2 linked regions of the Macaca mulatta genome follow. The main gene of each other region encodes a partner of the protein of the gene in region 2 in a complex. Links are inferred from orthologs where the notes say so. Each region holds a gene or a part of one and is shown on either strand. Other genes may lie near its edges.

Evidence for each region. The genes of interacting proteins can lie anywhere in the genome.
Region 1: MCM2 (region 2) and DONSON share a complex: the UniProt entries of both Homo sapiens proteins name them as parts of the replisome complex. The link is inferred for Macaca mulatta from reciprocal best matches to the Homo sapiens genes MCM2 and DONSON.

Annotation. Positions count from the first base shown.
Region 1 is NC_133408.1:13,805,803-13,813,108, reverse strand, and holds part of DONSON (protein downstream neighbor of Son), read right to left. Parts: intron 6,048-7,306; coding exon 5,835-6,047; intron 4,949-5,834; coding exon 4,811-4,948; 3' UTR 4,803-4,810; exon of another isoform or gene 4,103-4,802; intron 4,034-4,102; exon of another isoform or gene 3,124-4,033; coding exon of another isoform or gene 2,912-3,123; intron 2,439-2,911; coding exon of another isoform or gene 2,323-2,438; intron 2,211-2,322; coding exon of another isoform or gene 2,139-2,210; intron 7-2,138; coding exon of another isoform or gene 1-6. Other genes in the region: protein SON, read left to right, coding at 1-6, 2,139-2,210, 2,323-2,438, 2,965-3,123. UniProt on the Homo sapiens protein: Replisome component that maintains genome stability by protecting stalled or damaged replication forks.
Region 2 is NC_133407.1:156,358,657-156,365,962, forward strand, and holds part of MCM2 (DNA replication licensing factor MCM2), read right to left. Parts: intron 5,021-7,306; coding exon 4,845-5,020; intron 4,753-4,844; exon of another isoform or gene 4,734-4,752; coding exon 4,473-4,733; intron 3,505-4,472; coding exon 3,285-3,504; intron 3,013-3,284; coding exon 2,805-3,012; intron 1,236-2,804; coding exon 1,101-1,235; intron 764-1,100; coding exon 572-763; intron 1-571. UniProt on the Homo sapiens protein: Acts as a component of the MCM2-7 complex (MCM complex) which is the replicative helicase essential for 'once per cell cycle' DNA replication initiation and elongation in eukaryotic cells.

The DNA of each region.
Region 1 (7,306 bases), on a different chromosome or scaffold from region 2:
GAAAAGGTAATAAGTTCTTTTTTGAAATGTTTATTAACACCTCCTTTAACATTACCTTTAATATATCCTTTTGAACCCAGTGATCTTGAACTGAAGGCATTTCTTGTATATATACAGCTATTTGTCAGAAAAAACATTAACCCCTTTTGGGGTTCACAGAAGCAGCTTACTTTTATATAACTATGGATAGAGACACCAGTTTGAACTTTTAAAAGGCACCTTTTGTTATGCTAGTTGCTAAATATGGAAATGTGTATATATCTAATTATATTATTACACCTCCAAATTCAACCAGATTTCATGTTTAGAAAAGAGGATTTCCATTTTATTTTCTCTTGACAAAGAACCATCCTTATTTCTAGTTTGGTTTATTTTTTGTTATTTCCTATTACAATGCTGTTTAGTCTAGATTTCATAAACCCTGTTTGCTTTTTTTTTTTTGTTTTTTACAAGCTCAGTAGTTTAGTTGGGTTAGAGTATAGTAGACCAGCTGCTGACAATAATGTTACTTCTTCCTGTTGCCTGGTGTTAAGGCATTTTGGAACCATTAGCATTGACTGTATTTTCCTTTTACCTTCAGATACCTGGGTAGGACAGCACTGTGTCTTCCATGTAGCTTGTATGTAGTTGTTAAGTATTTAATCGTTCCCACAGATAATAGCTAATTGGCATCTTTTAAATAACTTCTTCCTTTGGAATAATGTAAGTGGAATCACGAGAGGCTTGCCAGCTCAGTATGATTTTTTATAGCTTGTTTAAACCTCATTTATAAAAGCTGGCAAATGTAAAACTGGGATTTATTTTCATCTTTGTAATCAAATAGTAAGTTGAAGCTAACTTCAACAGTTAATCTGTGTTAATGAATTTGGAAATGAACTAGCTCTGCACCAAATACTTTGGTGTAAGTATTGTACAATTTCAGGAAGCGTTCTCCTTGGAATTGTGGGACATGGCCTGACTGTAAGCTCTCGGAGAACCACAGATTTCCCAGGATAGGTTTGGAAAAGCTTGTATTAGCACGGAATTATTTAGCAAAGGTTGAAAAATTTCCTGTAACATACAAGATGAGCACCCCACATCTGGAAACCTGAAATGCTCTAAAGCAGAAAACTCTTTGAATACTGATATGATGCTCAAAGGAAATGCTCACTGGTGCATTTTGGATTTGAGCCTCTTCAGATTTGGGATGCTCGACCAGTAAATACAATGCAAATATTTGAAAACCTGGAATCATGCGACACACTTCTGGTCCCAAGCATTTTGGATAAGGAATACTCAACCTGTATATGGAATTGGGAAAGCAGTGTTTGGGTTTAGCAATATAGCTAATCCCCTTTGTAATAAGCCTATGGAGAGGGAGGTTATGTAGAAAGGTTATGTTCATATTTTGAGAACATCTCCCATTTGTTAGGAAGGGAGAGGGGAGTTTGCTAGGAAAAAAGGGACCTATTTTATTTGGAGACAACCGCTTTTTTCACCTTTTTGGTGGCTTAAAATCCTAACCTTTTTTGGAAGAGTCTTAACTGAGGCTTTTTTGAGAGAGTAAATCTGCAGAAATCATTTAGCAATAAACTTTTTTTTTTTTTTTTTTTTTTGAGATGGAGTTTTGCTCGTTGCCCAGGCTGTCAATGGCACGATCTTGACTCACTGCAACTTCCGCCTCCTGGGTTCAAGCGATTGGCCTGCCCCAGCCTCCCGAGTAGCTGGGATTACAGGCGCCCGCCACCACGCCCGGCTAATTTTTGTTTCTTTAGTAGAGACGGGGTTTCACCATGTTGGCCAGGCTGGTCTCAAACTCTTGACCTCAGGTGATCCACCCACCTCGGCCTCCCAAAGTGCTGGGATTACAGGCGTGAGCCACCGTGCCTCTGGCCATACTTAAATTTTTGTTTTCTGTTTACATTTGGTATTTATTACAATTTCTCATACCAAAGTCTATGAATATTAAATATAAATTTGTATGCTGAAAAACAGTAAAAGAGAAGAGAAGATTGATAGAGAAATCAAGTGTACTAGGAATCTGTTGATTTTATCTGAAGGCATACATTTTGAGGGTCAGACTCCTACAGAAGAATCTTTGTTTTAAAATGGTGCTTTGAAAGTTATTTAGTGAACAATCTTTTTTTTTTTTTTTAAAGGTCTTGTTGCAGTAGGAGAAAGAGCACAAAAGAGGTCTGGGAACTTCTCTGCTGCAATGAAAGATCTGTCAGGTGAGAGCACATTTTTGAATTTCCTCTTACCCTAATCCCACCTTGAATTCATTATTTGTTGCAGAAGTTGGTAGAAATAATTTAAAACTGGATATTTTTTCCCCCGCTGCAGGCAAACATCCTGTGTCTGCTTTGATGGAAATCTGTAATAAGAGAAGGTGGCAACCACCTGAATTTCTGTTGGTCCATGATAGTGGCCCTGATCATCGCAAACATTTTCTTTTTAGGGTAAATATGAATTTCTGCACTAATTGTATATATTTATTAATGTGATAACTTAGAGGGTGAGGGGTAAACATGACAGGATTAAGGTTCTGTTCATGGGTGGGGGATTTGTATTTGTAGTTAAGTGGTGGGGTTTTTAAACTGAAGGGTGCTTTCATATGACTTGTCAATGTCCTATTTTTTAAAAAATTGGAAAAAATTGGGCAAAATATAGTATACAATTTGTTATTTTCTAGTTGAATGTGGGGAATTAATTTAATACTTTTATCAGTCTTTTTCTCAATTTGGAGACCTGCTTTTAATTTGCAGTCCCTTTTCCCAAATGATTTGCTGCTTCTGGGTTGAGATTATAATTTGACTTACATAGTATGGGTTTTATATTTTTGTAAATTATTTTTCTAGCATTTAGTGAAAAATACAAAGCTAATAGATATTAAAGTTTGATGCTGTTCTTATTGTATGTTTTTCTTGAATAGGTATTGAGAAATGGAAGCCCTTACCAGCCCAATTGTATGTTTTTCTTGAATAGGTATTGATAAATGGAAGCGCTTACCAGCCCAGCTTTGCCAGCCCTAATAAGAAGCATGCTAAAGCCACAGCAGCTACTGTGGTTCTTCAAGCAATGGGCCTTGTACCAAAGGACCTCATGGCTAATGCCACTTGCTTCAGGAGTGCCTCACGTAGATAGATTGAGGTTTTATAATAATCATTTCAGATAATTTTACTCTGCATCACAATGTATTTCCTCTTTAATGTTGTAAATATTTGGCAATTTAAGACATTGTGTAAAAAGCAATCTGTAAAAACATCTCCAGGCTTTGATTTTTGTACCATGGAAATTGTATTTAACCATACAGGGTTTTGGTATGTTTATATTGTTTACCTTAGTGATGTATTTGTTTAAGTGGCTAACATCCAAACGATTGTTTGAAGGCATCAGAGTAATCTTCAGTGTGGAATGTTAAATAACGCTTTTATACTGTATTTTGTACTATGATGTAACTCCCCTTCCTTATGGCTAGGCTACTGTAACACTTGCCTGTAATCAGTGAAGGGCTGTGCACCTTGTACTATTTCACAATGGGTTCTGCTGGACAGATACTGGGCCAGTGTTATTGAGGTGATCAAGATCTGTTCCACAGGGCTATTGCCACAATCTCCCCTCAAAATTTTGTAGAGGTTCTAAAAAGAAAGTGGTATGTTGTGTGATGATCAGCACTAAGTCCTGCATTCCTGTTAAAGCCACTTGGGTCATAAGAAGGGAGTAAAAAATGAAGTCTGACTAGAATTCTACTATTGCAGAGGCCAAGTACATTTAGTATGGCATTGAGTTGTGATATAGTTTTACTTTGATGTGCATTTTGAATTTCAGCTACACCTAGATAGACGTAAAATGATAATTAAAATGCTGTAACCAACTTATCTAATAAAATTGGCAACCAGCCACTATTTTGTTGACTATGAGAAAGTTAAAGTTTATGTTAATTTTTAGGGTCCGATAGAATATTTCATGTGTATTACAGTGGTATTCATATGCTATGTCTCTAAACTTTATTTTCAAAAGCTTAAGGCCCAAATACAAACTTCTCTGGAATAAACGTGGTGTTTTATTTTCTGGATTATAAAGTGAACAAATACTTAGATACTATTATTTCTTTACCCAATGCTTTTGATTTCTAAGCACTTTTATTTTAAAAATGTGAATTATACAATCCCAACACACACAACACACACACACACACACACACACACCCCCACACCCTATAAGCACATTAAATACTACTTTGCCATGACAGCTCAGTGTGTACTTCACAATTCTTAACACTATTCTATGTGGAATACAAAATGCCTTTTTATCTGAATTAACATGCATTAGAGTTTTAGTATATGTGAAAATAAAGGAATTATAAATCAGTAGGAAAGATATTAAGGTAGAAGCATCACCAATCAGCTAGCTCAGTAGATGTTATCTATATTTATTTTCTACCTTTATGAAACAAGAACCTGCTAACAGTCTTAGGTAAATGGTAAAGTAACATATTTTTGCCCTGATGCCATTAGTCACAATGCCATGAGGTAACTGCTATGTGATTTCCCATTTGCAAGGAAACATTAATTCAGTTTCTACTCAATATACAATTAGGTTGTAGGGATACAGATAGCTCATTTGAGTTATCTGAGTTTTTCATCTTTGTATCTAAAAATCTAATCTGAAAATAGTAAAAGCAGAAAACACTGATTTAAAACCTTAGATGCTACTGTAATAAAAGTTATGTTTATAACATGTCAGTATATTCCTTCAACTTCAAGAATCTTGAATTTCCTTGCTAGAAGGCTTTTTTCCTCAAAGATTCCTTTTAGGCTTACTTTGGTGTTCAGGATCTCCAATTATAAATGTAGTCTCTCAGCACCACATTCCGTAAAGATGATTTCCCAAGTAATGGTATTTGACTAAGTTGCTCCAGAGTGTTAGGGTGCAAACCACAGTTAGTAAGCTCCTTATGAACAACCTCCTGTGGAAATGTGTATACAAGTCAGTAAAAAGCACATCAATCTTTAAACACAAAAGAGTTTCAAATAATTACTATGGAGACTGACAAATGTCTCATTCACGTGATTCATCCTATCAACAGAAGTTGATCCTAAGAATTTTTGTAGTGACAAAATCCCAAAACATTAATGGTTATTTTTATAAGTCTAGCCAACTGAGATGCATGAGATAATTTTAAAGGTCTTAATTATTCTAGCTCTAAAAACCTTAAGTATATTCAAAATTAAAGGCAAATATGGTTAAATAAATACCCACAGTGAATCATGTTTCCTTAAACTATAAAGGAATCAGGTACTACTGAGTTTTGGATCCAAGAGGAAATGAAAATAAAAGTTGTACCTTTTTGAAATGCGAAGTTCTTCAGTCACTGTTAAAACTGTATTTGGACTGAGCCCGGGCGCCATGGCTCAAGCCTGTAATCCCAACACTTTGGGAGGCCGAGGCAGGTGAATCACCTAAAGTCAGGAGTTGAAGACCAGCCTGGCCAATATGGTGAAACCCCGTCTCTAATAAAGATACAAAATATAGCCGGATATGGTGGCACATGCCTGTAATCCCAGCTACTTGGGAGGCTGAGGCAGAATTGTTTGAACCCAGGAGGCTGAGGTTGCAGCGAGCCGAGATCGCGTAGCTGCACTCCACCTGGGCAACAGCAAGATATCGTCTCAAAAAAAAAAAAAAAAAGAAAATTGTACTTGGACTGAATTCATGAAAGCTATTCTTTCCTCTAGTAATTCGTAATTAAATAACAGTTTAATTACTTGAAACACAAAAGTGACTCAGCATAAATGACTCACTTCCCTCCAGCTAAACAACTAAAACAGTCTGCTCATAGGTGTCTTTCTTACCATATCAAGTACTTTGTCCACTGGCAGGCAGATGTTAAATACAGCAGTTGGCTCGTGTGGATATAGTACTGCAGAGAAAGACCCACTCTGTGAAGATTTGAGCAGCATGGTCAGTGAATGCAGAGAATGAGGCATGATAGGACCTGTAATCTCCAAACTAAACTGGTCTCTGTATCCAGAAAGAGCTTGTGTCTTCACATTTACACTTCGTGCCTTTATGAAAATTTAAAGAAAAGGAAAATTATGATCATCTCTCAACCTTTTGTCTAGCCAAAAATATGTTCAATATATTTCCATTTGGGGTTTCCTCTCTTTAACAATTATGGAACAAAACTATTTCCCAAGACATCAAAACAATGTTACGTGAGTACAAATACTTAGTAAATTTTCAGCATCCTCTCCATATTATGAGATTTTCAGGTGATGTATATTCCAGAGAATACCACTTTTTCATATGGTATTTTGTCTGATTTAATAACACATTGTCAATGCAGACTATTGGAAAAACAAAAATTTAAAGTCCATTCAATTTTATTACTAAGTAATAAAATTGTATGTATTTTGTATTTACATATATAATTTATTATGATTATAATCCCAGCACTTTGGGAGGCCAAGGTGGGAAGATCACTTGAGGTCAGGAGTTCAAGACCAGCCTGGCCAACATGGTGAAACCTTGTCTCTATTAAAAATACAAAAAAATGGCCGGGCGCGGTGGCTCAAGCCTGTAATCCCAGCACTTTGGGAGGCCGAGACGGGCGGATCACAAGGTCAGGAGATCGAGACCATCCTGGCTAACACGGCGAAACCCCGTCTCTACTAAAAACACAAAAAATTAGCCGGGCGAGGTGGCGGCGCCTGTGGTCCCAGCTACTCGGGAGGCTGAGGCAGGAGAATGGCGGGAACCCGGGAGGCGGAGCTTGCAGTGAGCTGAGATCTGGCCACTGCACTCCAGCCTGGGCGACAGAGCGAGACTCCGTCTCAAAAAAAAACAAAAAAAACAAAAACAAAAACAAAACAAAAAAAACAAAAAAATTAGCCAGGCATGGATGGTGGTGTGAGCCTATAGTCCCAGCTACTTGGGAAGCTGAGGCAGAAGAATCGCTTGAGCCCGGTAGGCAGAGTTTGCAGTGAGCCAAGATCAAGCCACTGCCCTCCAGCCTGGGTGACAGCAAGACTGTCTCTAAATGAATGAGTGAATGAATGAATGAATGAATGCAGGGCGGCCAGGTGCAGCAGCTCATGCCTGTAATCCCAGTACTTTGGGAGGCCAAGGGAAGATCATGAGGTCAGGAGTTCAAGACCAGCCTGACCAATATGGCGAAAACCTGTCTCTACTAAAAATGCAAAAAAAAAAAAAAAAAATTAGCCAGGCGTGGTGGTGCACAATTGTAATCACAGCTACTCAGGAGGCTGAGGCAGGAGAATCGCTTGAACCTAGGAGTCGGAGGTTGCAGTAAGCTGAGATCGCA
Region 2 (7,306 bases):
AAGGTGGGAGGATCTTGAGCCAGGAGTGTGAGACAAGCCAGGAGTTTGAGACCAGCCTGGGCAACATAGTGAGACTCCCATCTCTATTTAAAAACAAAACAAAACAAAACAAAACAAAACACAACACCACCACCATTCTGGGTTGTTTTTCTGAAAAAACTCCCATTGGCCACAACTGGATCCCTAGGAATCCCTCATGACACAAATTATCCTATTGCCTGCCTCTGTTCCCATTTCAAACCACAGCTCGAAATGATCTGCTAAAGGAAGAGCTCTTCTCGTCGCAACCCTATCCTCAGCAGGGGACTCCTCCCCACCACACAGGCTCAGAGAGGTCATCCAAGTTATCCCACTACCTCGCTGGCCCATGGTAGAACCAGAACCAGGTTCACCCATCCCCAATGCGAGTTTACCTCTTCCCCGGAGCACAGGGCCTCCCTTCCAGACAAGCTTAACTGAGCTCCAGGGGAATAAGGCAAGGTTTGAGCAGTGAGCCCTAGATGCCTGCCACACCCCCAGCAAACCTCCATGTCCCCTCACAGCATCCTGGCAGCCCCTGCCTTCCACCTGCCTTCTCCCCGATCTGCTGATCCTTGGAGAGGCTAGTGATCATCTTCACATCTTCATCGGTCAGTTCCCCTACAGCGACCTTGTTGTCCTTCTTGGCCACGTGGTTGGCCAGGATGACAGTGGCAAAGACGGGGAAGCCATTGGCAGTGTTGAGGGAGCCATCATAGTTGTTGTGATAGATGCCAGTCAGTTCCTGGGGAAAGGGAGGGGCCAAGAAGTCAGAGCCTAACCGAGGGGCCACAGGCAGAGTGGGGGCCCACCTCCGTGCTGCCTTCCTCCAATTTCTCCTATTGCAAGTGCTCCACATTACAGACATCAAGATGAGTAACTCAGTAAAAAGCCCTCCTAAACCCACCATTCCAACAACCCATCCACCAGAGGAGATAAAGTTCTTTGCCTCAGCCATGCAAAAACAGATGCTAGCCTGAGTGCCCCTGCGACCATACACACCTCCACCAGCCCAGCCACAACTGCTTCTGCCAATTCCCTCTGCAACTTGGCTCCCTTCCAGCCTACCCCTGGCCACTTACTATCTCGTCTCCTGGCTTGCAGCTGTCTACCAGATCCGCAAGGAGAATGGCGTCCTTGGAGCGGGGCAGCCGGCCAGCTGCCACTTTGCCTGGACTCTCCTGGATTCGGATACGCTGGTAGTTCTGATAGATGGTCTGCGAGGGACACAGAGAAGGCCTCAAAGCACTGACTTACTATGTCACCCAACCTTGACCCCTCACCAGGCAGGACAACAGGCAGGATTCCGACTCCTGAGTGGCAAATGGAGAGCCAAAGACAGCAAGGAATGAGTTCATGGCTACTTAGCACATCAGTGGACAGTACCCACTCCTGCCACCATCCCTCTGGGATGCCTTCTGACTGCCAGACTCAGCACCTGCTCTATGCTGTACAGCTGAGCTGTCTTGAGTACCAATGCTGGAACCAGGCTGCCTTGGTTCTGTGTCTAAGCTGTGTGATCTTGGGCAAGTGACTTCCTTTCTCTGTGCCTTCTCTGCAACCTCACAATGAGAATTAAAGCAAGTCAAACATACATCAACCTAATCCAGCATCTGATAAATGTAAGTTATAGGAAGTCTTGGCTGTCACTGTCAATTATCACAGGCTAGCACTGTGCCATGTCATTTCGTGTCCATTATCTCACAACACGCACTGCAGTTAAAAGCACATGCTCTGGATCAAGATGCCTGAGCTGTGGACCTCTGATCCACATTCTGGCTGGGTGACCTCAGCCAGTTCTCTAAACACTCGGAAAAGTGGGGCCAGTAACAGTTCCTGCCTCACGAGCTGTGAAAAAGGACCAGGTAATAAACCACCCACTACCTGGCACTGATAAGTACTCCATGAATGATAGCTGTAACTGTTAACCCTCTACCAGGTACTATCTCAGGTCCCTAGAAGCAAGGCCTGAGGGAGACAGACAGGGCATGGGAAGAGTGAGCAAAGACGTGGCTCAGCAGGCATCTGGCCTGCAGCTGTCCCACCTGAGGCAGGGGTCAGCTTTTGGCTGTAGATGGCCACAGGTGGGACCTCTGAGGCATTTTCTGGCAAGGCGGCTCGAGCTGGGACAGTTCTCAGAACTGCAGAGCGGTGAGAAGAGGACAGCCAACAGCCACAGCAGCAAGGCAGTCAGGGGGCCTGGGCACCACCACAGGGACTACAAGCCCATTTACAGACAGGGAAGCTCAAGTACAAAGGCACATGTAATGTGCCTAAGACCTTAAGGCCAGAGGCTTTGGCAGCATCTCCTGAATATGGTGCAAGAGGTTGGTATGGTCCAGGGGCCCCATATGAGCCAGGCAGGTCCCCAAAACAAGCCGAGGGGAAGTCCCGATGGGACTGCAGCCGCCCCACGCAAGTGATGGCCCCCTGGAGACTGGTAAGCACACATTCTGAAGGAGCAACTTGGCAAGAAGCAGGACCTGTTTGCTTCTTCCCATGTTTGCCAGATCTTCCCATGTTTCAAGAGGAGCCATAAACTTGAATGGTTTAAACAAAATCGCCCCACCTAAATATTGACTTGAATTCCTAAAAACACCGTGTGGGCCAAACTAAGCTCACTGGCCAGACAGATTGGGTCCACCCCAGGGTGTGGCCAACACACAATTCTATCTTGCTTCTTGAGGCTGCCCACACTGGTCTTCTACAGCCTGAGAGGCCAGTAAGGCCCTGCATACTGGGCACCCCTAAGGAGAGCTGGCAGCAGGCCCTGTGGCCTCTCTCACCTCTTCCATGTTGACCTCAAAGGGGCCGGCTGACTGGCACTCGGGACAGGAGCCTGGTTTCACCTCCTGGTTCTGGGACTGGCAGAAAGGCCCCAGGACGAAATTGCACTTGTTGCAGTTGTACTTGACCATGCTGAGCTGGGGCAGGACGCCAGTGCAGCTGGTCACCACCCCACTGGTGCGGATCAGCTGGTTCAGATGCAGTTGCCTGCAGAGGCAGAGGGAGCATCAGAAGCTGTGAGCTAGGGTGAGGCCAGGCTGCAGACGAGGGTGTCCCAACACACTGTCGTGGAAACTGGGCCCAGCCCCCAGCCTGGGAAGATACCTCCCATCACACTCCTGTGCAACCACAACTCACCTGCGATGAGGGTGCTGCTGGCTGCACCCTGCCCCGCCCACACCACGAGCGCTCTCTGGAATCACGACTGAGTTACCCAGCACTGAGCTCAGACCTGCCATCCTCACCTGCCCTCAGCTCACCTCAGCGAGCGCAGCTCCTCCACCAGAGGCAGGTGGGAGATGCGGACATGGATGTGGTTGGTGATACGGTCGTACTTGGGGTACATGGCCAGTACCACCTCCAGGGCAGCCTCGTCAAAGATCTGCAGCAGCTCCGCCGGCGCCTCGGGCAGGAAGTAGGCCAGCACGTGCTCCCTTGCTGCCAGGTCCTCATAGTTCACCACCAGGCTCTCACGATTCTCTAGAGGGAGGCATGGTGGGAAGAGAGTTAATGAAGCATGAGAACCGGGCTGGACGGCAACAATGTCTGTGTGAGAAGTGAGGCCTACCCACCCCGACCATTGACTTTGACCTAGAAAGTCCAGCTTTCACTTCTAGGTCTACCACACTTCCGCTGTGACATAGCCTGAGCTTCAACTCTCCACTCCGTAAAATGGGCCTGTCACATGGTGCACAAAGTTGCTGGGGGGTTAAACACGAGCAGAGTGCCTACAGAACTATAAACACAAAATGCCTTACAAGAGCCTAGAAGAAAATCTATGAATAAACTGTCAAACACAGGACAAAAAGCAGGGGAAGGAATTGCAGGAATCAAGATGTACACGTCCCTTTTAAAAGTCAATGCCTGGCTGGGGACGGTGGCTCACACCTGTAATCCTAGCACTCTGGGAGGCCAAGGTGGGCAAATCACCTGAGGTCGGGAGTTCCAAACCAGTCTGACCAAAATGGAGAAACCCCGTCTCTACTAAAAATAAAAAATTAGTCAGGTGTGGTGGCGCATGCCTGTAATACCAGCTACTTGGGAGGCTGAGGCATGAGAATCACTTGAACCCTGGAGGCGGAGGTTGCAGTGAGCTGAGACTGCGCCATTGCACTCTAGCCTGGGAAACAAAAACAAGAACGAAACTCCGTCTCAAAAAAAAAAAAAAAAGACAATTCCTATTACATATATCAAAGTAGTAATCCAGATTTTTATATAAAATCTGTCCATTTACAAGCTTATCAAAAAAATGCTTTGGTGGCCCAGATGTGGTCACTGCACAGCCAGCAGGAGAGCCCTGATGCAAAACTCAATACTTTTAGTTTCTCTGACAGACCTCTCAGTCACATGCCCTGTACTTCACGTGTTCACTGGGTTGGGAAAACTTTCTGTGGGAAGATTTATGGAGGTGCTACAGGGGCTGAGGTGGGAGCTGAGGAAAGCCACACCTTTGCACATGTCACTGATGCGCTCCTTGAAGACGTTGTGGCCGTGGCTGTCCACGTGGGTGCGCAGGAAGTTCTTGAAGCGGTGGTGGATCTCCAGCCGGGGGCCCGCCATGCTCACCCACTCGCGCACAGAGTGGCCCTTGAGATCCTCCAGGTTCTCGATGCTCTCGATCATCTCCTCGTCCTCCTCGCCGTCCTCTGTGGCCCGCTCCACCTGGCGGCGCTTGCGGGCAGGACGCTCCTCGTCCTCCTCATCGCTGTCTGGGGAGGCAAGAGACACCTGCTACTGTAGTCATCTCCAGCACCTCTACTCCCCTCCCGGACTCCTTCCCAGCTTCCCAGCCCCTCGGGCAGGCAGGCACCTGGACTTACCGTACAGGAGCCCACGGCGCATGCGGCCCAGGCCCCGGCCAGCCTCCCGGTCGCGCTGCCGCATGGCCCGCTCTGCTGCCTCCCTCTGACTGGCCGTCAGCTCCTCTACGTCCTCATCATCCAGAGCCAGTCCCTCGGCCTCATAGGCGTCCAGCTCTGGGATGGCACGGTAGTCCCTGAGGGAGCCCCAAAACAGATGTGGTTACTGACCAAAAGAAAAACCCGAAGCACCAAACCCCATCCAGGAACTGGGCCTGTTCAGTAAGGTTCAGGAGCCCCAATGTGGGTAGGCTTAGCACTTCCAGGTCAGAAACACAGAAGGCTCAGAAAATATCTCCAATGAATGAACAAAACACAATCTGTCCATATGATGGATGATGCAGCCTTAAAACAGAAGGAAACTCTGCCACATGCTGGCACATGGATGAACCTTGAGGACATGATTTTGAGTGAAAGAAGCCAGGCACAAAAGGACAAATCCTGTATGGTTCCACTCATTGAGCAGTCAAATTCATAGAAACAGAAAGTAAAATGATGGTTGCTAGGGACTGGGAAGAATGGGGAATTAGTGTTTAACCGAGACAGTTTCAGTTTTCAAACTGCAAAGACTTTTGTGGATGGATGGCGGTGTGGCTGCACAACAATATGAATGTACCTAATGCCACTGAACCATACACAGAAAAATGGTTAAGATGGCTGGGCACCGTGGCTCATTTCTATAATCCCAGCACTTTGGGAGGCCAAGGCAGGAGGATCACTTGAGCCCAGGAGTTCAAGGACAGCCTTAACATAGTGAGACCCCGGCCAGGCGCGGTTGCTCATGCCTGTAATCCCAGCACTTTGGGAAACTGAGGTGGGTGGATCACGAGGTCAGGAGATCAAGACCATCTGGCAAACACGGCGAAACCCCGTCTCTACTAAAAATACAAAAAAATTAGCCGGGCGTGGTGGCGGGCACCTGTAGTCCCAGCTACTCGGGAGGCTGAGGCAGGAGAATCACTTGAACCGGGGAGGCGGAGCTTGCAGTGAGCTGAGACTGCGCCACTGCACTCCAGCCTGGGCAACAGAGCGGGACTCCGTCTCAAAAAAAAAAAAAAAAAGAACATAGTGAGACCCCCATCTCTATAAAAACAGAAAATGGCTGGGCACGGTGGCTCATACCTGTAATCCCAGCACTTTGGGAGGCCAAGGTGGGCAAATCACGAGGTCAAGAGATCGAGACCATCCTGGCGAGCATGGTAAAACCCCACCTCTACTAAAAATACAAAAATTAGCTGGGTGTAGTGGCACACGCCTATAGTCCCAGCTACTCGAGAGGTTGAGGCAGGAGAATCACTTGAACCCGGGAGACAGAGGTTGCAGTGAGCTGAGATTGTGCCACTGCACTCCAGCCTGGTGGTGACACAGCAAGACTCCATTTCAAAAAAAAAAAAAAAAAGAAAATAACCCAGGCCTGGAGGCACATGCCTATAGTCCTAGCTACTCAGGAGGCTGAGGTGGGAGGATTGCTTGAGTGCAGGAGTTTGAGGCTGCAATGAGCTATGTTCATGCCACTGCATTCCAGCCTGGGTGACAGAGTAAGACCCTGTCTCAGAAAACAAACAAACAAACAAACAAAATGGCTGGGCGCAGTGGCTCATGCCTGTAATCTTAGCACTTTGAACCCGGGAGGCAGAGGTTGCAGTGAGCCGAGATAGCGTCACTGCACTCCAGCCTGGGCAATAAGAGTGAAACTCCATCTCAAAAAACAAAAAAACAAACAAAAACGGTTAAGATGGTAAATTTCGGGCCAGGCGCAGTGGCTCATGCCTATAACTTTGGGAGGCCGAGGTGGGTGGCTCACAAGATCAGAAGATCGAGACCATCCTGGTCAACATGGTGAAACCTCGTCTCTACTAAAAATACAAAAATTAGCCATGCGCAGTGGTGGGCACCTGTAGTCCCAGCTACTTGGGAGGCTGAGGCAGGAGAATCACTTGAACCAGGGAGTCGGAGGTTGCAGTGAGCCGAGATTGCACCACTGCACTCCAGCCTGGCAACAAGAGTGAGACTCTGTCTCAAAAAAAAAAAAAAGGTAAATTTTGTTATGTGTATTTTACCACAATTACAAAAGGGGAGGTAGATCTCCAGAGAGGTTCTATGCACCCAGTAAGATAAAAGAATTCAAGGAACCACAAAACATTAGACCAAAAGGCTTCACAGAGCTAACCCAACTCCCTGTGAGGGCTGGAATTCTCCCTGTACTTTCCCCATTTCTGACTATGCTGCCTTCAACAACCTGATGTCCTGGCTTCTACGCAGTCAGTCAAACCAGCCCTCTGAAATGGCCACCCACTGTCTCAACCCTTTGAGCTACTCCAAGATCATCAGACACACATTTTCCACATTATCTTCCTTCAGATACTGAAGAGAAATAATGCCTTAATAAGGCACCCAATGAGTGCAAAGCACTTCCCTGCAGT